3 linked regions of the Tamandua tetradactyla genome follow. The protein of the gene in region 1 purifies or fractionates together with the protein of each later gene. This does not show direct contact. Links are inferred from orthologs where the notes say so. Each region holds a gene or a part of one and is shown on either strand. Other genes may lie near its edges.

Region 1 (7,614 bases):
TCTCAGCCACTGAGAATTTATTTTGTCTCATTTCTCTCTTCCCCCTTTGGTGAATGAACTCCACGTTGCCAGAGAGATCTATACTCCTGGGAGTCATGTCCTACATAGGGGAGGGCAGTGAGTTCACCTGCTCAGTTGGCTTAGAGAGAGATGCCACATCTGAGCCACAAAAGATGTTCCCTGGGGTGACTCTTAGGCCTAATTATCAGTAGGCTTAGCTTCTCTTTTTCAGGTTTCCTACTGTTTTTAAGTTGCCTTTTCCTTGACTGGGTGTTCACTCCATTACTGAAACCCTTTGACTGTTTTCCTGAACTCTGAGAAGGATGGTTCTGCCAGGGTTTGCTTGTTATTTAAAACTTCTGTGGGGAAATGGTACCCTAGAGGTTCTCCCTCCACCATCTTGGTGATGTCACTTTCCAAAATGGGAAATTTTAAGTTATATTCATGTTGCCATGATTTTTAAAAATCAACCCTGTGGGTGATGAGAGACCCTCTTTTCTTCTGGATTCGCGCTTCCACATGGAGGAGTTTGCACTGAAGTAACAGGCTAGTTACTGCACTAGTGTAACAGCCCTGGGCTCCGAGCCCACCCCTTGTCCTTCTGCCTGGAGGGGAGGCAGACCTTAGGCCACCTTTCTCGGCTGGATAAATTTCCTTAGGGGTGTTGGTTTCTTCTCTCTCTGCTTTGGATCCAGTGAGGAAGACAACTATGGACAGGGATATCTGCTCCACAGGCCATAATTTTCCAGAAGTGGACTGTCCCATGGCCCTGATGGGTAACAGAGGAGAAGAAACTCTCAGTAAACCCATTTGTTTACATGCCTAAGCCATATACCCCCATGTGCTGGTTTGAAATGATGTATGGACCCTAGAAAAGACATGTTTTAATCCTAATCCCATTTTGTAAAGGCAGCCATTTCTTCTAATCCCTATTCAGCACTGTATGTTTCAAACTGTAATCAGATCATCTCCCTGGAGATGTGATTTGATCAAGAGTGGTTGTTAAGCTGGATTGGGTGACAACATGTCTCCACCCATTTGGGTGAGTCTTGATAAGTTTCTGGAGTCCTATAAAGGAGGAAACATTTTGGAGAATGAAGGAGATTCAGAAAGAGCAGAGCAGAGCAGAACAACATAGCCACAAGAAGCAGAGTCCACCAGCCAGCAATCCTTAGAGATGAAGAAGGAAAATGTCTCCCGAGGAGCTTCATGAAACAGGAAGCCAGGAGAAGCTAGCAGATGATGACTTCTTGAACCAAGGTATCTTTCCCTGGATGGATGACTTAGAGTGGACATTTCTGTAGACTTGCTTTAATTGGAACATTTTCTGGGCCTTAAAACTATAAACAAGCAACTTATTAAATTCCCCCTTTTAAAAATCATTCTGTACCTGGTATATTGCATTCCGGCAGCCAGCAAACTAGAACACCCCATCTCACTTTATCAGAAGCAAAGGTGAAATTTTGATCTACATCTATCTGAGTCCCAATTATCCTATTCCTTTTATGTCTCACAAGCAGGGAAGAAGGATTATCAGAGGTATGCCTCCCCGGTATAAATAGCCTCACTGTGGCTGATTTCAAGCCATTGATGGTTTAACAACCATCTATTGGTATTTATTCCCTCAAATACCAATAGATTGGAAGCCAGGTTTCAAGCAAGGGAGTGTTTGATCTAATTTACGTTTTAAAAATATCACGCTAGACTTCTGCTTCTATTCTTCCCGCTATATAGAGCTAAAAAACCTGAACATAGTATATAAAACAAACATAGGAAGACTCTGAAGATAGAGAAAAGAAGACTGGTTAGGGAACTCACTGCCTGAGGAATGACACAGCAGTAAGTTCAGTAGGTTTCCTTTTTGCCTTGTGTATCCCAAACTGGGTGCTGGAGAAGCTGTTAACTATAAACACCGATTAGTACCCAAAAAACCTCCTCAAAAGTTTGCCCTCTCTAACCAACATATCAGGAAAGGGACAGCTAGCAGGAAATAAAACTTTAGAAAGTAGTCACTCTGTGCTAGGTAAACCCCATAGAGAAATCTGTGGTGCCCGCCCCACCCATGGCAGACAAGATCAAAAGGGAAGCTTAGATTTGTGCCCTCACCCAGGGAGAATGAGGCAGTCCTTTCCCCCCACCTCCAAGTGAAGGTCAGAGGAGGACCTGTGGAAAGTCAAGGCGTTCTCCAGCACCCAGCAAGAACAAGGCTGAGCCAACACTCACCTACACATGCCAGTGGTGTCACTGGAAGCCACTTAGAGAGCAGTGATGAAGCACCCTCATGGTCCCAATTACTGTATGGCAACTAATGCCAAGTAGAAAACCTGCTGTTCACCCTGCCCTGGTAATAGCAAGGTGGCACCCCTCCTTCCCCACAGAGCAGCGTCAGAAGACGACTACTAAACTAACACAGATGTATGTAAGAGCTAGTCTCATCCCATAAAACCAAAATGTCCAGGTTTCAATTGAGAATCACTCCTAAACCAAGAACCAGAAGGAGAAAAGACAAACAACAGAGACCAATACTGAGATGACACAGGTGTTAGAATTACATAACAAGGATTTTAAAACCCTGTCATAAAATGCTTCAATTAGCAATTATAAAAATGCATGAAATAAATAAAAAGATCACTGCTGATGTCCAGGTTTCTGGTTTTACTTAACACTTAACTCAGTGTCTGAAAGCTTGATTAACTCAGGAACTCACTTCTTAAAGTCAAGTACACTGTTGAGCTGGGCTGGGCTACTTTTTGAAAACACACTAGAATTTTGCATCAAGGTCTCAAAGTCGGGCACTGGGAAATAGGGGAGAGCAACTTAAAACTGTTTTTCCTCCCATACATACTTAATAGATACTTACTACCTGCCAGAGACTGTGCTAGGAGTTGGGATATAATGATAAATAATGCACAATTCTTGAGTTCAAGAAGCTATAATCCAATGAGAAGGGTAAATGCAAGACCGACACTAGGAAATCTGGCAGGTGCCACAAAAAGGTAAAAAATATGTCATTAGGGAAACCTAAAAAGGTGCATTATATGTCAAGAGAAGAATTAGACATGTTTTCACAAAATAGGTGGTCATTGAACATGGTCTTGAAGGAGAGGGGATTTACACAGGCAGGGAAGGAAGGAAAGATTTTATTGCAGAGAAAATGGCATCTCTGAAGGCACTGAGATAGAAGCCATGTGTAAATGCTGGAAATTGGGGCACTTTTGGTAGATTAGCATGTTCATATATGGGTAGGCCTGGGGAAGAGGGGAAAGTGTCTCAGTCTGAGATGTGTTGGAATGTAGATTGGGGCCCATCATGAAATTATGGTATCTAGATTCAGTTTCTTCCTCAGCAAAAGAAAGAGATTTGGATTAGCATCACGTTTCTCCCTTTGTGATGGCAGTATGTTCCAGGTCTTCAGGAGGCATTCAAATGGACACTGTGTATTTTCATAGTTAGAATTTGACCATGTGTGTTAACGCGTGCCTTCTATCCTGAGGTGGTGTCCGAGCCGGGCTGGGTGAACTTCAGGACTCTCATTGCCTCCCAGCTGGTCAGGAGGTTGACCCACCCACACACCTCCAGAGATGGCAGGCAAGTTATACCAAGTGTTATTTAAAGATAAATAGATGTTAATTTTTAAAGTGAGTTAACTTAAAGACCTGTATTAAGTAAATGATGGAGATGGCTACGCCTTGAATGGCTGCTGTCAGAGAAACTCCCCGCACCCTCGGCTCCAGGGTTCTACCCCATTTCTCACCCTCTAGGTCTTCAGATCTTGCCTTCTCAGGGACTGGTTGGTAAAGGCATCTCCACCTTGCAAGATGATCCAGTCTTCTAGAGACCTTCCCTAGGGTTGCCGAGGCACTTCGTTTCAAATCACCCATTTGGCACGTGCTGTATTTCGCAGCCGCTGTGCTCCCTCCAGCCGGGCTTCGTTTCAGCCGTGTGCTGGTCGCTGCTCCGGGCATCTATATTCCTGCGTCCATTTATTCTCACAGCAGCCTCACAAGAAGTGAAGACAGTCATTACCCCTGCTTTACAGGCGAGGAAAGCCAAGCACAGGGAGGAAAAGTGACTTCCCTAAAGTCTTCTCATTTATAATAAGTGGGCCAGGGTTTGAAAACACATCTTCTGGCTCTGGCTTAAAATGTTCTGTTTATTTATCTTTCTCTCAGGACCTAGAGATGGAGCCTGGGTCAAACTGAGAAGTTTGTCACCTGGGCCCAGCACAGCACCGGACACAGCAGCTGACCATTAATGTATTCGTGATGGACGGGAGGGGAGAAAGGAGCGCCCAGGTGAGCAATTCCGCATGGTGTGCTTTCCAGAGCCTGGGATGTGCCGAAGAAGCTACAAGAATAAACGAGCAACGCTGCGCGTCCACACCTCCCCACGGTCAGGGTCATGAATTGCAAGGCCACCCCCATTCCATCCCTCAGCGTCGGCTCCACCTTTTCCTTTCTCGGCACCATCCCCTCCGCAACCTCCGCTGCCCGGGTTTTCTCGGGCACTGGTCGCCGGGAGAAGTCCGCGTCTGGGAGCGCCCGGGCCCAGCAGGTATGCGCATGCGCAGAGAGCGCGGCGCACTGCGCATGCGGAGGACGGCGGCTCCGGCGGCCCGACGACCCGTGGGCAGCGCTGTCCTCCCGCTGCGGCTGTGACTTTGGGCGCGTGGGGCTCGTGGCGCGTTGGCTCGCCGAGCAGCCTGCTGGACGCCGCCCCCGAGTGGTCCCGGGCTCCGGTGCGGGCCCGGCCCCGGAAACCCGCGCGTTGGGGGCGGTGCTCGAGCCCAGCGGGAGAAGGCGGGAGAGCTCTCCGGGTGCGAGGGGCGAATGGCCGCCGGGCTCGACAGCATGAGTCAGCAGCGCCCCGCGAGGAAACTGCCCAGCGTCCTCGTGGACCCGGCGGAGGAGGCCGTCCGTCGCCGGTGCCGAGACCCCATGAGCGTGGAGAGCCTGCTGGTAAGCCCCGGGGAACTCTGTCCCGGGCGACCCGCGATCGTGCCGCCGGGGAGGGTCTCTGGGCGCAGTCCCCTCCGCGGGGAGCCCGCGCCGCGCGCCGTCCGGCCGCAGCTCTGCTGCGCGGGTGCCGTGGCTCCTAGGGGTCACGGACGGTGAACCAGTCAGGTCATTCGCTTTACTCCGTCGCCCGGTTATTGCAACTTGCTGTGCAAATGTGTTCGCTTTCCTGGCGCTCAACTCGAGGCCGCGGAGTAGTGTCGGAGAAAATTGCTCAGTTTTGCATTATGAATGCGAGTTGTTCCATCTCAGCTAGACTCTCGGTGTATCTCTGCAAGCTATCGTTTTTCTTCTAAGCTTCTCTCCCATTCTTCCGCTTAAATGCCGTCAATTTAATAAAAACACGTGCGTGCTTCAGGTCTTCTCACATCTCCCTGTTTAGCAAATTATCTTCCATTCTGTTTTCCAGAAAAAAAAATGGGTGGGAAATTTGGCTCACTTCCTGCAGAAGGCTAATTTTCTCTATAAGTGTTCTCGGCTAGATGCTGTTTTCTCTGTGGCTTACAGAGCCCTTGATGAAGCCATCATTTCCCATTTCTTCCTGTGGTTTCAACTTCTCTGCTAGCTTCTTCCCATAGTAATAGCTAAACATTTACTGAACAGTTATATCCAGTTTTCATGCCAGATAGCTTATGAACGTTATTTGATTTAATTCCTCACAGCAGTCCTAAGAGATAGATACTGTTGTTCTTGTTTTACAGTTGCCAAAATAGACGTGGGGATGTTAAATGACTTATCCATAACTAGTAAGTGGAGAAGCCTGGATTTAATCTCAAAATATCAGACTATAGATGATAAATTCTTGACTATTTAACTGCATCCCTTCAGTGATCTTAAACAGATGTCTGTCTGAAAATATACTTTCCTTAATTCCATAATCCCTTCATTTACTGTATCTCTTCCCTTTCTTGAAAAAAAAAAGTTGTTTGCACTTACTGTACTCACTTCCTCAGTTCTCACCATGTCAACCTACTCCTGTGGAAGTTTTGCCCTAACAACACCACAAAAACTGTTCTGACGTCATAGACAGTCTTATTAATTCTAGTAAAAATTCCTCTCCTTCGCTGTTATTTAAAGCTCTCTCCACTTAACTTCTGACATTACATACTTTTGGTGATCCATCTTCTTATCTAACCTCTCCTTGTGCTCCTTTGCAAACTTCTCTTCCCATTCCTTTAAATGTTGGTGTTATTCAAGTCTGGAGGCGTGACTGGAGAAAGATCCACTTCCAAGCTTATCCCTGTAATTATCAGCAGAACTCAGTCCCTTAAAGGTTGTTGGACTAAAGGCCTTAATTTCTTGCTGGCTCTTAACTGAGCCCTCCCTTAGTTCTTGCCATGCACGCCTTTTCATAGGACAGTTCACACATGGCAGCTGGCTTCCCGGAGATCTAGCCAGAGAGCAAGAGAAGGCGAACAAGATGAGCACTAGTCTCTTTGTAACTTAATCTTGAAGTGACTCTGTCACTTGCTGTGTTCTGTTCTTTAGAAGGGAGTCACTGAAATTCAGTCCACGCTCCAGTCAAGGTGATGGCACAGATCGAGAGTACCAGGAAGCAGGGGTACGGAATCATCTTAAAGGCTCCCCGTACATTCCACCCTCTGGCCCCCTATAATGATTCACAACCTTCCTCATGGAAGATCTACTCCCCCTCCAAAAGTTTTATTCCGTTGGAACATTCGTCGAAAGTTCAGAGTTGCGATCGGGTCCAGCTGTGGATTTAGGCTCCTTGAGTATAGTTTCTAACGTATAGTTCCTCAGGTATGGTTCTCTGGATATTAAATCTGTGAACCTGAAAAAATAAGTCGTCTGACTCAAAATATGGCAAACAGTGGCAAGATAGACATAGGATAACTGCCATAGACCTTCCTTTCATAAAGGAGGAAATGGGGTAACAAGTAAATGGTCCATAATCTGAAAACCAGCCAGGCTACTGTTGGAAGTTTCTTTTTTTTTTTTATTTAAATATTTTTATTGAGGTATCTTCATGCACATACAGTCCATCCAAAGTATACAACCAGTGTTGTATACAGTATCATCACATACTTGTGTGTTCACCACCATGATCACTTTTAGAACATTTGCATTACTCCAGGAAAAAAAAAAAAACAAACCCAAACATCCCATACCCATTATCGTTCCCTTTCATTGTTCACTAGTATTACACTCTACCCAGTTTTTTACCCCTTATCCCCCTCCCCCATTATTTATTTCTTTTTGTCCTTTTTTACAGTTATCTGTCGATATCCAGGACAAAGGGAGCATCAGCCACTAGGTTTTCACAGTGACGCGGTCACATTATAAAAGGTATATAGTTATATAATCGCCTTCAAGACTTAAGACTACTGGAATACAGTTCAGTAGTTTCAGATACTTCCCTCTAGCCACTCCAGTACATCAGAAACCAAAAAGGACTATTTATATAATGCATAAGAATAACCCCAGGATATCTATTGATTCTGTTTCAAATCTCTCAACCACTGAAATTTTATTTTGTCTCATTTCTCTCATCCCCCTTTTGGTCAAGAAGGCTTTTTCAGTTCCATGGTGCTGGGTCCCAGCTCATCCCTGGGAGTCCTGTCTCACATTGGCAGGGAGA
Region 2 (7,783 bases), on another chromosome or scaffold:
AAACATTTGAAGGTTGTAAGCAGGGGAGTTCATTGATTTGATGTATGTTTTAGTGTGGAGAATGGATTGGAGGAGGATCAAAAGAAGTAGCCGGACCTGTTAGAAGCTCTCGTGCATTCCAGGTGAAGGATGGTGGTAGCTTGGTCTAGGGCAGAGACAGAGAGGGCATGCAGAAAAGCAGAAGAATGTTAAAAAATATTTTGGAGGTACCCCGCTGCCCTCCAAAGGGTGCCGGTTGTCAACCTGCACCCCTGCCAGGTGCAGCAAGAGCCGATCAGCCCTGAGGTGGCCTCCACGCAGGACTAAAGGCTCTCAGCAATCCTCATCTTCCTGGCATCTCTGCAGTGCCTGGCGGCAGCCACAAAATAAAATACATGTCGTGAAAGAGGGAGGTGGGCTGGTGTCCCAGCCCCTCCTTCCTGGACCCTGGGGCTCCTGCCCCGAAGTCTGGAGCCACTTGGAGGGAAGTGGGACCAGGTGGCTCTCCACGACTGTACACAGTAAACGCAGCCCCTCCCAGGGGCTGAGAACAGGGCATGCAGTAGGAGACGCCTCCACCCCACTTCTTGAATTTGGAAGAATGAGCCCTTCCAGAGTGATGCTGGCGACGGGGCTGGGCACTGGCTCAGCCCCGTGGGTGTGTTTTGTTCCTTATTATTTTTAAACCCTTAGAGAGCAATATCAGGAGCGCTGTTAATACGTCTGCCACCAGCAGGAAGATCAAGTTTCTTTAGAAAACCTTGTACTAAGTCTGCCCCTCTGGAAAATTCACAGCGGATGTTAGCAGGGCAGGCCTTGTGGCAGGGAATCCGGCTCCACTTGGTTTAGTGCTTCCAGACTTTATTTAGAGCTATGTGGTGTGGATGTCTGTGCATGTTGCCCCTCCCCTCCCCCACCCCATACCAGTTAACTGAAGACAGCCAGTGTAGAGAATGTTCTGGAAATGATTAAAATAATAATAATATATCATTCCCGGGAACAGGGGGAGCTCCTTTTTGACTGGATTGTTTCCTACCCATCCTCCTACTCCCCCTCCCTGCCCACCCCAGCCCGCCATGCTGAATGCTCCCAGGCCTCTTTGCTGGCTGGACCCCTCCCCAAATCTGGGACAAGGGTAGAGTTGCCAGATTTCACAACACAACAAGGCAAAAAGAAAACAAAACAGGGTGCTGAATTGTTTGGAATGTCAGGTAATAATTTTTTAGTATAAGTATGTGCCAGATATTTGCATAGGACATGCTTATACTAGAAAATTATTGTCTAATCTGAAGTTCAAATTTAACTCAGCATCCTGTAGCCTTACCTGAGGGAATCGAGTAGAAGCTTGGGTGGGAGCACCAGGGTTGCCTGACAGTTTCTGACAGGCTGAGCCCCTTCCTCCTGTCTCCATGTAGCTGATGGGGTGGGTGGTGGGTGGTGGCAGACAGAACTTAGTAAAACAAGGAGGATTCCCGCTGGCTGGTGAGGTAGCTGCTCTAACCTCCCAGTTTTTGCCAGATCCCGACTCTAAGAGACACTTAGTTCCCGGTTCAGGTGCCCTCTTGGTGCTCCAATTTCCAGCAGCTCACTCCCAAGGTGGGGAGGAATTGGAAGGGGCTTGGCAACCCCACCCAGCTGCCCTTGAAACCCATCCAGACAGTGGTCAGTTCCAGATTCTTAACTGTATTTTTTTCATGATATTGTTAAAACAGAGAGAAAACATTTAAAAAGCCCTTTAGCAAAAAAAAAAAAAAATATATAGGAGGTAATAATTAAATGTATGTAGTGGGTTTGGAAGTGGGGGTGGGGCAGAATATGTGAGGATTGAGGCCTGGACAACCGGGTGGATGGCAGCACCATATTCTGTAACGGTGAAAACTGGACAGGGATGGATGACTTTGGGTAGTTGAATGGAATGAACTAAGAGTTCCACTTACTTTGAGATGCTTGTGAGACAGTGAAGAAGAGGACATGAAGGCAGTTGGAGTTAGGTGGAAAGCACAGAACTGGTGATCTAAATCCTGCAACTTCTGGCATCCTCTCTTAAGATGAAATTAGAGTCCCTAAATCCATCTTCTCTGTGATTTATTATTTTTCACATCTCAATGTACATATCACCAACAGTATAAGAAAATAGAAACCTGAACTTTCCAGTTTCACAGCATTTCAGCAGGAGTCGGAAACACCAGACTACGGGGGAGGGAAAAAGGGCAGAGAGGGAGCCCTGGTGACAGTAACAGCTAGCATGAATGGAAATGGCCGTTAATTAGGAATTCAGTTGAAACAGCCTATTAAACACAGGTTGCTAAGCAACACTGGCCACCCCGGAACAGTGTGGCTGTTCCTTCTGTGGCAGAGCTCCTGGGCCTGGGTCTCTTTCTGTAGCATAGGTAGCATTTTGGCTAGTCTGAGCCATCTTTCTATACATGGACCTCATGTGAGTCATTGTCCCTCTCTCTCTCTAGGATCATAAATCTCTTGCTCTCTACTGGATCATTTCCCAAAACGACACAAATGTGCTCTAGTCACCCATACTACACAAATACATCTCTTGGATTCACTGCCTTTGTCCCCTGCCATATGCCATTTCTCCACTCCACCACTGCCCAACCTTTTGAAGGTTTGTCTACACATGCAATTTCTATTTCTTCTCTTGGCTTTCCATCTGTCCCTACACTCCACCAAAATTGCTTTTGTCAAGTTCACTTACTGCCTCTCTGACCTGAAATTCAATGACCACTTCCCTCTTTTGCATTTCACACAACTACCTACTTTATCCTTTCCGAAACACTGGCTTTTCTTGAGTCCCTCTTGGCTTTCCTCCTGTCTCTCTCCTTTGCAGGCCCTCACTGTTCAAAGTCATCAGCAAATCCATTTAATTCTCCAAAATCTACCCCAAATATTTCCACTTTTTTCTATCTCCACTGCCACAACTTAAATCCAGTCCACATCTTCTCTCCTCTGGATAGCACGGAAGCCTCCTAGCTGCTCTCGCCTATTATCCGAGCCCATTAATTCTCTACACAAGTCTTTAAAAAAAAAAGATTGCACCTATGATTTGCAGATGGGTGCTCGCTTCCACATTATCCGCTTCTGTGTGGTCTTCCAACAATTATTACAGTCTTTGGGGAGTGGTGTGACCCAAGTTGAGGCCAGATATTTAGAAAGGGCCAGGGTAAGAGTTCTTCATTGAAATATTTACTGCACGGCCACTGCTGCTGGACGCTGTGGCTACAAAAGTGAACAGGAGGACCCCACGGTTCCAGCCTTCACGGAGCTTCCGTTCCCAAACCATCCTCAGAGAGAAAGACCAACGCTTCCAAGCCCCGACCGCGGGCTAGGCTGGGCACTAACCGCCTTGGCGCCCGGCCCGCCTCCCGTGCACCGGTGACTCGACACAGGAGTCAGGTCGCCTCATCTGCACAACGGGGCTGCCAACCGGCTCTCCGCCGCCCCGCGCGTCTGGGATGCCTCTCGCCCCTCCCCCACACCCGCCCAACTCCCGGCCTGGGCAAGGGGGCGGTGCCGGCGGTCACGTGGCCCGGCGGGCGCGCTCGGATTCCGAGCGCCAACCGCCGGCGGCCCCGCCCCGCCCCCGTGCCCGCCTTCGGCGCGAGGCTGCTCGGCGCCCTCAGCCTGGGAGGCTGCAGCCGGCTGCCCATGCGCTCCCGGCCGGACCGGGGAGGAATGAGGCGCGGGCTCGCCGGGACTGCTGGACAGCCGGGGTCCAGTTTGGGGCGGTCAGTGATGGCAGTATACGGGAGGCGCTGGGGGGCGTAGGGGCCGCCCCGAGATTCTGGAGAACCACTGGAGTGGGGGCTGTCAGGGTTAGGACTCCCGCCGTGGGGTTGCCCCCCAGAGAGGGGGGAGGGGCGGCGAGCCCCTCCTTTGTCTTAGTTATACTGAGGTAAGGGGGCTGTGCTTGGCCAGAGCAATTCGCACTGTGCCTGACACAGAGCGAGCCCTCGAAAACTGCTGGTCTTGATTGCAACCACAGTGCGGTGAGAAAAGAGAAGAGGGAGTGACAACGGGGGCTGACAGGAGGTAACTGCCATTATTAAGCACCTCAGCTGGCCAGGTGCGGGCACCTCCCCTTCCTTCCCCAGGTGGCTAGGCGAGGCACCCGGGACAAGCATCTGCCCTGGGAGTGTGTAATTAAGAGGCAGAGCTGGGGTACGAACTTGGGACCTTTCACTCCTGACCCACTGCCCTAGGCTAAGGAAAAGGAATGCTTGGACCACGCTTTGAAAATTGGGTAGGGTTTTGATGGGTGGAGACCACTGAGTGAGCTGTGCCCTAATTAGCTGTAAAACCTCGGGAAGATCTTTAGAGCCATGCTTGGCTCTGTAAAAATGGCTGGACCTAGGAAAACTGATAACTAATATGTAAGTAGTGCTTTGCAATTTTTAAAGCACTTTCAATCACGTCATATGTAATTCTCACAACTCGCCCAGTAAGCGTTTTTATTAGCCCCATTTTACAGATGAAGAAATTGTCTTAGAGAAGTTTAGATAAGGGAGTAATGACAGAGATTTCCTATTGATTAAGTCAAATGGGTTTCCCCATACCAAGTTACCATGGATGAGAATACAGTTCTCTCTCCCAAACTCTTAACATGTTGTGCTTTCATTATCTGAGCACGAACCTACTAAATTTAAGACATTACTGTTGTTGGAGTTTCTTGCCCCTTCCCAACCACCAACTACCATATCCCAGCGACCAAGGTGGTGGTGAACAGCAGTTTTAATTTATTTTATTGGGCTGGTTTGGGCTGCCCCAAGTATGAAGAGCACTTGAGGCAAAGTGAAAACTGGAAAGTAATTGGGTGGGTTTGACTGAATTCTGAAAAGTTCAACCAGGTTGAATAATTCTCTAGCCAATTATTTTGAGGGCATTTGGTGATAATTGATCATTTTCTGTCCTTCCTGTTGACAGGTGTACCTCCTAGCAAATTATTGGAAGGAACATGAGAAATGTAAGTAGGGATTTTGAAGTAGCAGTTAAGAGAACCAAAATTGTTTACTTATAGAATAATGGCAGTTAATTTGGTGATATCATTTACCTATCAAACGGCAGGTACTTATCAAATGCCCACTTTTGAGGAGTGTATTTGTTAATGTGTGCAGAGAGGTTCTCCACAGGTGACAGTTGCCATCAGCGCTGACAAAGGTGCTATTTTTTTGGTTAACCTTTCCCAGAGGTCTGTGATATGTGCCAGGTGCCCGGCTAAGTGTTTTCACTTATTCTGTAACCTCATTTATCCTCACAACTATCTTAAAAGCCCTGAGCCGTTCTTACACTTTTTAGAAGGTAGGAAACAAGTCTCTAAGCATGAAGTAAACCAGTTCTGAAGGGGCAGACAAAAACTTAGCTTTTCACAGTGTGATCCGGGTTCAGGGTCAACAAATATTTAATGAACTTCACCTTGTACCAGGCACGTTTGAATATTTTATTTAATCCTCACAACAAACCCCCCCTCCCAATGCCTTTTGCTCATTTGAGCTGATCACCTCGAAATCAGCTAACAGGCATTTTTTTTTTTTTAACTAGCACATTCCTCATATGGAGCAAGTAGAGCCTCCGTCCCTGAATATAATGTTGTGCTGTGAGAAAAACAGCAATTCCTTTAATAAAATCCTGACATCTCAAAAACAGCAGTACAAAACAAAAATGTGGACCTTAGGCAGCAGATTGAGTTTCAAGGGCATTTTCTTCTGATGATTACAATTAAATCTGAAAACACCACTGGTTTCCCATGACAGACGCCCACAACTCTGATTCACTAGACTAATCACTCATCTGAAACTTGGATCAATTAGGTGTAACTTTTAAAAAATCTGGGGGAAGTCCAGCAGGGTTAGTGGGAAACTGGTTTGTAGATTTGTTATAAAAGTCCTCAGATGCTTTTTTCACTTTTTTTTTTTTCATGGGCAGGCACTGACAATTGAACTCGGGTCTCTGGCATGGCAGGTGAGAACTCTGCCTGCTGAGCCAATGTGGCCCGCCCCCTCAGATGCTTTTATATCCTGAATCAGGAAATGGTGACAGAGGTAGCCTTCCCTCTTAACCCCCTCCAACCAATCTCCGCAACTCAAAGTGATATTTTTTTTAACGATGATTTTTTTGGGGGTGGTGGGGGTGGTGGTGTTTAAAACCATTTAGTGGAAAAGGCAAATTTATAGAGACAAAAAGCAGATGAGTGGTTGCCTGGAGCTGGAGGTGCAAACATTGAATGCAGATAGGCATGAGGGAACTTTTTCAGATGATGGAAATCTAAATCTGGATGTGGTGTTGCTTATACAACTCTAAATTTACTAAAAATCACAAATTGTGCACATAAATCAGATACATTTTATGCTATATAAATTCACTTCAATAAAACTGTTTAACAAACAAAACCCTTCTTGGCTCCCCATCGCTTACCCTTTAGATGCTCAGAGGCTGTCTACCCCTCTAGCCTCTCCTGATGTGCCCAGTGTGTAGCTTGAATTGGAGTGATTGGGAGCTGGCTGCAGGTGCTCTGATAAAGGCTCTGTCATCTCAGTGCCTTTGCACATGCTGTCCCTCTGCCTAGGCTCTCCTTCCTGTTGTCTGCTAGGGGACACTTACTCTCTTTCTTCAAGATTCAGCTGGAGCATCTGCTCTACCAGTAAGCTTTCCCTGACTTTTCCAAATAAAGCCAAGTGACAATGCTGTTATTTTTAATGTACATATCTGGTACCCTCACCAAACTGAGCCCTCTAATCCTGATTTTTTCCTCTAGACCTCAGCAGGTCTCATGCCTAGAATGTTTGTTGAATAACTACATGTGCTGTCAGTATCCCCTTTCCATAGTACTTTTTTATGGGGAGTGCCCCTTCCTTCCTCCCTCCTTACCTTCCATTTGTTCCAGAGTGCTGAGGATTACTGTGGATACAAAAAATGAAAAATGCAAGACACTAATCCTCAAGGAACTCCCTATCTAGCGCAGGAGATAAGTAGTGTCAAGAAGGTGATTGATTATATGTCCTCACCTTCCTCTCTCCTAACCATCATCTCTGACAGGGTACTTATTCTTATGTAGGTTGGGGATGGTAGTGAAACCTACCTGATAGATGTCCTGTAAGAGTTAGATGGGTTGTAACAGAAAGAAATGTGTGCTGGCACTGCAGTGCACCTGGGTGTTAGGGCAAAGGTTCAGGAGATGCCTGGAGAAGCCACCACCTGAGCTGAGTTGTGAAGAATGAGTAGAAATTAATTTAACCTTCTTCAGTTTACCCCGATGGATAAGTGATGATTTGAATACATTGCCAAAGATTGTCACCCTTGTTGTTGATTAGGAGAAATACAAGGGCAGACATGCTTAAATTAGCTGCGCACTCAGACACAAAGATGAAGGAATATTACTTGTTGGTGATACTAATTTCTGTGGTTTGCCCCAGCCTCAATTTCCTACGAAATACTGCGTAAAGAATGGTTGCAAACCAGAGGTTCTTGGGCTGAATTCAGATTGCCTGAGTATTTTTTTGGGCCTATGCAGAATTTATAAAGTTTTTTTTTTTTCACTATAAAAGTTGCTGTTTATTTTCAATTTTTTTTGCTTGTCTCCTCTTAGCCCTTTAGGAGTCCACAGATGCACACCAGCCTGCAAACCCCACTCTGAGCACCACTGTGTTAGACCCTGTCCCATCCTGCTTATCCAGGGACATGGCTAGAGCTATTGCACAGCGCCACCCCACCAACCCTGCATCAGAATTTATCCCTCTATTAGATGATACCCATCAGCACACAAACCTATTATAACATCTCCCTGCTTGAAAAGGAG
Region 3 (7,797 bases), on another chromosome or scaffold:
AGATAATAAAGAAATTAGAGCTCATAGGTTTAACTTAGGGCCAAAATCAAAAGAGAAGAGACAATTCAAGAGAGGAAGGAAGAAGCTGAGAGGATCGCAGTGTAGAAGAACACTTACTTTTAGGAACAGAGTGTCCCTTAGACTTCTGGTGAGTTGCCCAGAGCCTCTTCAGTTTCAATCCAAATGACAATGCTTCTCTGAGTCCTCCTCAAGTAATGTTTCGACCACTAAAAATTGGATCTACAAGAGCTCAGAAGTACCGGTAAAAAAATGTCAGGGGCCCTCATGTGGGCCTCATGCCTCTTTTAAACTAGGCCCACTTCTCTGTCCTGGGCCAACTTCCCTGTGCACTATATTCCTTCTTCTTCCAGGTGCCAGGTATTCAGCCTGTTTCTTCTCTTCTGAGCTGCCACCACCTACTCTATTTCTCAGGGTTTCTCTAACCCCAAGACTGGCTGTGGAGTAGTAGGACACCAGCTTCCCCCCTTCCTTGCTGTCCCTGCAAATAAACATATAGGCTCTTCTAGTTTCAGTATTTTTCTAATGGCTAAAAGAAAATAGAGAGGGAACAACAAAAAGCAACAATATAGTACCAGAGATTAAGATTATAATAATTGTTTCCACTTTAAAATTCCTGCCTCCAAAAAAAATTTTTTTTCTAAGAATTGCTTATAAGCATTTAAAATAGTATAAAATGCTTTCATAGATATACAAATATAATCTAAGCTAACTCCAACCTATTTACCCATAGAGATACTCTACTTTTCAAAATACTTAAATCACGGGTCCAAAAGTGGTTACTATGTTCATTTTAGCAAATTGGTACTTTTCTATTTTTGAACTTTTCTGTTGTTTTAGTTCCTTAAATTTAGCAGTAGATATTTGAAAGTGTCCTTTATAAAGGATATCGTGAAAATGTTAAATATACTGTATCCACTGTAAAAGGAATATGCAAAAAGCATTTCATGATTTACAAAAAAGGCACATAAAAAAAGTTAACTTCACTGAGAAAAACCTTAAAAATCTAAACTTTTGTTTAAACATGTTTAAAATTTAAACATTTATCTCCACGTTAGAATTTTTTAATAAAATGCTATAAACGGTGTTTAAAAATCAGGGTATCAGGCAGGCCAAGGGTGGCTCAGCAGGCAGATTTCTTGCCTGCCATATCAGACACACAGGTTCGATTCCTGGTGCCTGCCCACGTGCAGAAAAAAAAAAAAAATCTGGATATCTCATTTTTAGAATCTAATCCTGATTGAATATTTAAATCCAATGTCAACATTATTTAGGCCCTCTTTTTTGCAGCATTAGTATATTTATTACTGTGATAATTTAATCACTAACAGACTGAAATCAAAATACAAATATTATCTAAATATTAAGCCATAAATCAGAGGACTGAATTAAACTGAATTAATTGAAAGGCAACCTTTCTGTAAAAGCAAAGGAACTTTGTAAGTAAGAGCTGGTGACAAGAATGTCATTAACTGACTACCCCGGATGATTTTCTTTATCCACTTAATTCACTTATGTAGCTTTTTAAAAGACAGAATTATTACATTGTAAGCCTACAAAACAGCGTTAAAACTGAAAACAGGCAGAGAACATTTCATCTCATTTTAACGTCTAATTGATTGCCATTTAATCGAAGTAAAGATATTCAGATAATTTCAGTAAAAATGCGTTTCTATTGATTGGCTCAGCTCCAACTACTTATCTATAAAATATTAGAGAAGTGGAATAAAAACACCAAACAAACCTTGATCTGACCCTTCCAGGCACTCATTTATAAAAAAAGAAATCTGATCTACTGTGCATTCTACAATCAGACACTTTTTTTTTCTTAAGGAACGAAATTAAATTACACCCTTTGCTCCTAAATTGGATTTCATGGTTTTTCCTTGATCCCCACACACTAACACAACAATGCGGCCAACATTATTATATCCGGGGGAAGGGAGGAGGGCATTACACTCTGCGATACGAATTAAATCGCAGTAGCTAATGTCTCGCTTAAATAATTTATTCTCTCTTGGCAATAAAAAACGTTGCAGCCTCTTCAATTACCCCACACCGCAAACCATCACTTGGGTCGCGATCAATCTGACCCAATTCCTATCGCGGCCACCACCTCAGTCTCGCCTCCTCTTGCCCGGTCTGCGAATGTCACGGGAAGGGGCGGCAGCCGCAGGGTCGTCCTCTGCGCCGCGATCAGTCAGCCGGCCGCGCGCGGGGCAGGACTCACCGGGTGGAGGTGCCCTTCCGCACATCGCACATCATGCACTTGAAGGCCTCGGCACTGTTCCGGAAGGTGCAGACGCTACAGTCCCAGTAACCCTCATCCGAGGACGGCTTCGGCTGCCGCTTCGGCCTGCAGGACACAACCCGGACACGACGCGGCGCAGGGTCACCAACAGGCCGCGCCCGCCGCCCCCGCTCCGCGGCCGCCCCCGCCCCGCCCCCCGGCCCCAATTCTGCGACCCCCCCAGCCCGCCCGCCAGCGGCGCGCAGCGCTTCGGCTCCGAGAGGGAAGAGGAGTGGGAGTCAAGAGCCGGGAAGGCGCGAGCGCCGCTGCAGCCGCCGCCGCTGACACAGGGGGTTGCCTCTCCGGCCGCCGCCGCCATCGCGGCTCCATTGTGGGGCGGCCGGCGCCAGCCCCTCACGCGCCAGCGCTCGTGGAGCAGCGGCGCCGCCCCCGTTCTCGTCCGGGTGCCCGGGCGGCGAACGAGGGGGCCCGCCCCAGCCCGGCACGAGGGCGCTGCCGCCGGCACAATCCGGGCCCCGGGGCCTTGGCGCTCTTACCTGGTGGGGCTCTTCTTGTCTCCCATGGCTTGGCTATCAGTGCACGCCGAGAGTCGCCGCCGCGGCAGCTCTGTTTATCAATAAGAAAGATAATAAGCCGGGCGGAAGCGGGCGGGGAAGGGAGGAGGGAGGGGGCGGGGAAGGCCGCACCGCCGAGCTGGGAAGCTGCCGCCGGATCCCACGCAGCCTCCAGCTGTCGGGGAAACTCCTGCCTGGGAGCACGTGACCCGCGCGCGCCAACCAGAGGCCGCGCCGGAGACTTCAAACGCTGCCAGCGCGGCCCAGCACCCGCGGCGAGTTCGCTGGCTGCGGGCGTTGCGGGGGCGGCCGCCGCAGCTTTAGGCGGCGTCGCAGCTTCTCGGTCCTGTTCCAGGCGCTTCCCTTCGGCATCCCGGCTGGCTGTGGATGTCGCGTGATGTAGATCCCCTCTGACCCTTTGAAGCGTCTGTCCAGCCGGCCAGAGGAGATGTTCCGTCATCCCGCTCAAAGCCTGGTCAAAGGTGGGGCTAGCCTTCTCGAGGTCAGCCCGGCTCGGGACCACGAGTGCCCTGCCGGGCGGCCCTTAGCCACTCAACACCCCTCCCCAAAGGATACCTGAAGGCAGGCAGGAACCAACAGTGAGCGCCATTGCTAGGTGTCTTAAAAACAGTCTGGTTTAATCTACGCAAATGCTCGTAAGGATTGTTGCTCTTAGTTTAAAGGAAGAAACCGAGGTTCAGGAGAGGTTTGGTGACGTCCTCTAGGTTACATAATTAGAAAATGGCAAAAACAGGACTCTAACCTGTTTTGATTCCAAACGCGCTTCTTTGGCCGTAGAGACCTCTGCAGGAGATGCTCTTAAAAGAAAACGAATACTTATAAGCCATGTTTTAAGATAATAATATGCCTGGAACGTTGTTGCCTAAGAAGGGAACGATGTTGCCTGTTCACGTATTCTCCCAGAGTCTCATTACCTCAAATACTGAAGGACCTTTTCACCTTGTGAAAACAAGATAGATTCGAGCAACAGCTGTTTAACTAGCGGTCTCTAAAGCTCTAGCCCTGCCATCCCATGTATTCAGTAAATCACAACCAGATTAATTATAAAAGGCTGTTAACAAGGCGGCCCACGGTGGCTCAGCAGCAGGGTTCTCGCCTGCCATGCCGGAGACCTGGTTAGATTCCTGGTGCCTGCCCATGAAAAAAAAAAAAAAAAAAAGGCTATTAAAATTGTGCCACAGCTCTGCTCAAAAACCTAACAGGTTCCAAACTCTGCCAGGCCTTTCTCAAATTTCCCTTAACTCCCCATCTTTCTTCAGAGAAGTTGCCTTCTAGCAAACACTGATAGGTTATATTCAATATTTCCCTTCCCAAAACTCTCCCTTCGTGCACATTTTACGTCTACACTGAATATTTCCTTCTTTCCTCTGTGCCTGTGCTATTTCTGCCCATTTTTCTAGGTTCACTTCAATAGGATAATATTATATAAAATGATTATAAATATATGAAATAATATTATAGTTAGTAGGGTCTTAATATAGAAGAAACACGCTGGCGTGCCCTCTCACACATACACAGAACAGTACAGAGTCCTGGGTTCTCGGCTTGGTTCACTGTTCCTTAACCAATGAGCCTTGGAAAACTTGATTAATTTCTGTAATTCTCAACTGCATCTGCAAAATGACAGCTATATTTATGAGGTTATTGTGGGATTAAAAATTATTTAAAAAAAAACAAAACAATTTTGAGCACCACGTTGCCAGGCACTTTGCAAATCTTTTTACATAGATGCATACTTTAAAGAGCTCAAAGTGCTATGAAATGTTAGTTCTCACCATCTAGTTGCATACCTTCGTTTTAAAGACAAGGAGTTTAGGGCCTGGGTTAAATGGCTTCTCTTTAATGAATTTTTCAAGTTTAGCACTCAGATATCCTATTAGTCTCCCACTAAGCTATGCTTTCTGATTAACCATATCAGTCCAATTTACAGCGGTCTCTGAACTTGTAGCACCATTTTTTCTTTTTGCAAGTGTTGCTTCTCTCAACTCAGACTGTTTCACCCTAGAAGGCGAGACTATGATTGAGGAAAGCATGGATCTAAGGCCTAGTTTTCTCAGCCTTATAGTTATATAAGAGATAGTTACATCTCTCAGTAATACAGCAGTAAACACAGTTAGGTTTCAGTTTTATTTCCATCTGTAAAATGAAGTTAAAACAATTATAACAATTCAGGTCCCTTCCAATCCTAAGGCATTATGTTTTAAATTCTTCAACTGGATGGATCATCAAAAAGATTGACTAGAATCGGTCTGCTTGTAAAAGGGATGCAAAATGTATTTTTGAATAAATAGAAAACTAAATCAGGCACTCTAAAAACGCTCCATGCTGTAAATCACCATTTTGCTAGAATATAAACTCCATCACTAGAAATTAAACTTCACCTCTAAATCGTAAGCTCAGAAAGGGCAGGCACTTTTATTTGTTGTCTTCGTCACTGCATCCCTAGTTCTAGAAGTCTGGCAGGTAATAAGCACTCAATAACTAGTCTGAGAATGAATAAATTCACCTGTGTCACAGTTCTTGAATAAAGTGTTTTTTCATACTGGTTTCACAGCCTTTTAAGCATATTAGCATGCAGTAGATGCTCAGTAAATGCTGGTGTTTATAACAAGTCTGCAAACTGAAATTTACAATTTTGCAAGACAGTTCTTATGGAAGAACGAGGAATTAGACCCAGTTTCTGTGGAGTGCAAAAGCAAATGCCTTGCAATCTACTAGCTGCCTACCATTTACTGGGTACATCTCTTTTAAAAATTCCTTCCTATTTTAAGCTTACATGGAGACACCAGTACAAGGAGCACCTCCTCCTACTTCACCACAAAAGTCACACCATTTTTCCTGAAATGTTTTCCCTACTATCTGGAAGAATGACCCAGGTTTAGATGACTCTTTGATACAATAACAAAGTTCCATCCTTTAGAAATGCAGTTCACTGGCATCACTTGTAAAGTGACATGAGTACTTTAACAATACTTTTAACAGTTTGGCAATAAAGTTCTGATATTTTCTAATGAAATTCTTTAACAATTTTAAAGAAATTAAAAGGTCATCGCTATAATAATATTCATTTCCATTCTAATACGATTCCTAGAATTGGAGAGACTGGAGAAGTTTCTGAAACTGCATGGCTTCACATGCACAGGTACACAGTAATATATTGTCTGTGGAGGTGTCAAAAAAGATCGAGAACTTCTGTCTTAGTTCAAGAGATTGACGGTAGGATCCCTGAGAACCCAGGCTCTTCTGCTTAGCCCTGAGTTTATGTCTATGAGGCAAACACAACAATTAAAAAAATATACAAAAAACTAAGCTTTAAAGATGAGTATAGTTATTAGACAACAGAGGTTGCCTGAAATGAGGAGTGCCATCTTTGTTTGTTTATCAACTGGAATTTGAGAGAAAAGAGCGTGACTTGTGACTAAGGGAGAAGCTGAACCACAAACCTTCCCTGAGAATAGAATGCAAAATGAAGAAAGTCAGTAATAAGCCACAATTGTAAAACCAATCACATTTTAAAAGGTTGTTTGGTTTTTGTTTGTTCAATCAGTTGTTTGTTTGGTTTTTGCAAAATGAAAATACCTTTACTGATTTTGCTGGTTATAAAAGTTATATGTTGCCAGCATAAAAACTTCACTGAAGACTCTTGTGTGTGTGTGTGTGTGTGTGTGTGTGTGTGTGTGTGTGTGTGTGTGCATGTGCACATAAGGTTGACTGGCTTATTTTTTTTAATAGATTTATCTTTTAGAGCAATTTTAAGTTTACAGAAAAATTGCAGAATACAGAGAGTTCCAATATACTCTCTCTCCTCCACGCACGCAGTTTCTCCTGTTATTAACATATTGCATTAGTTAGACATTTGTTATAACTTACAAACCAGCATTGATACATTATTAACGAGAGACCATAGTTCCCTCTTTGTTCTACATTTTTATTGGTTCAAGCACATAATGTCATGTATCCACAATTACAGTATCAAACAGAATAGTTTTACTGCTCCAAAAATACCTCTTACTCCACCTTTTTATCCCACCCCACCCCCCACTCACCCCAGCCCCAAGCAACCACTGATCTTCGTTTGCTATCTGCCAGAATGCAATATACCAGAAACAGAATGACTTTTTAAAAGGGGAATTAATTAAATTGCTAGTTTACAGTTCTAAGGCCAAGAAAATGTCCCAATTAAAACAAATCTATAGAAATGTCTTATCAGGCATCCAGGGAAAGATACCTTCGCTAAAGAAGGCGATGATGTTCAACATTTCTCTCAGCTGGAAGGGCACACGGCAAACACAGATCATCTGCTAGCTCTCTCTCCTGGCTTCTGGTTTCATGAAGCTCCCTGGGAGGCATTTTCTTTCTTCATCTCCAAAGGTTGCTGGCACGTGGATTCTCTGCTTCATGGTCCTGCAGCATTCTTTGCTCTCTCCGAATCTCCTCCTTCTCCAAAATGTTTCCCTTTTCATAAGATTCTGGTAAACTAATCAAGACCCACCCAAATGGGTGGAGACATGTCGTCACCTAATCCAGTTCAACAACCAGTCTTGATTAAATCACATCTCCAGGGAGATGATCTAATTACAGTTTCAAACATACAATACTGAATAGGGATTAGAAGAAACGGCTGCCTTTACAAAACGGGATTAGGTTTAAAACATGGCTTTTCTAGGGTACATACATCCTTTCAAACCAGCACATATAGTTTTATCTTTTTGAGACTATCATAAGGTGTAATCATATAGTATGTAGCCTTCACAGACTTTCTTTTACTTAGCAATATTCATTTTTTTCATGACTTGATAGCCCTTTTTTAAAAAGTCACTGAATAATACTCCATTTTATCAATGTACTAAAGTTTTTTTATTCATTCACCTACTGAAAAACATTTTATTGCTTTCAAATTTTGGAAAGTATGAGTAAAGATGCTATAAACATTCATGTGCAGATGCTTGTGTG

What was found. Proteins that work in one complex are often made in the same cells at the same time.
Region 2: the proteins of E2F6 (region 1) and L3MBTL2 purify together in Homo sapiens (affinity purification with mass spectrometry; 5 studies listed by BioGRID and IntAct, counting the BioPlex papers as one, with this or other methods). This does not show direct contact. The link is inferred for Tamandua tetradactyla from reciprocal best matches to the Homo sapiens genes E2F6 and L3MBTL2.
Region 3: the proteins of E2F6 (region 1) and YAF2 purify together in Homo sapiens (affinity purification with mass spectrometry; 4 studies listed by BioGRID and IntAct, counting the BioPlex papers as one, with this or other methods). This does not show direct contact. The link is inferred for Tamandua tetradactyla from reciprocal best matches to the Homo sapiens genes E2F6 and YAF2.

The regions. Positions count from the first base shown.
Region 1 is NC_135329.1:65,714,237-65,721,850, reverse strand, and holds the start of E2F6 (transcription factor E2F6), read left to right. Parts: upstream 1-4,605; 5' UTR 4,606-4,829; coding exon 4,830-4,958; intron 4,959-5,951; exon of another isoform or gene 5,952-6,005; intron 6,006-7,614. UniProt on the Homo sapiens protein: Inhibitor of E2F-dependent transcription. Binds DNA cooperatively with DP proteins through the E2 recognition site, 5'-TTTC[CG]CGC-3'. Has a preference for the 5'-TTTCCCGC-3' E2F recognition site.
Region 2 is NC_135333.1:34,374,910-34,382,692, reverse strand, and holds the start of L3MBTL2 (lethal(3)malignant brain tumor-like protein 2), read right to left. Parts: upstream 3,011-7,783; 5' UTR 1,953-3,010; coding exon 1,917-1,952; intron 1-1,916. UniProt on the Homo sapiens protein: Putative Polycomb group (PcG) protein. PcG proteins maintain the transcriptionally repressive state of genes, probably via a modification of chromatin, rendering it heritably changed in its expressibility.
Region 3 is NC_135333.1:101,735,025-101,742,821, forward strand, and holds the start of YAF2 (YY1-associated factor 2), read right to left. Parts: upstream 3,011-7,797; 5' UTR 2,832-3,010; coding exon 2,806-2,831; intron 2,375-2,805; coding exon 2,249-2,374; intron 500-2,248; exon of another isoform or gene 118-499; intron 1-117. UniProt on the Homo sapiens protein: Binds to MYC and inhibits MYC-mediated transactivation. Also binds to MYCN and enhances MYCN-dependent transcriptional activation. Increases calpain 2-mediated proteolysis of YY1 in vitro.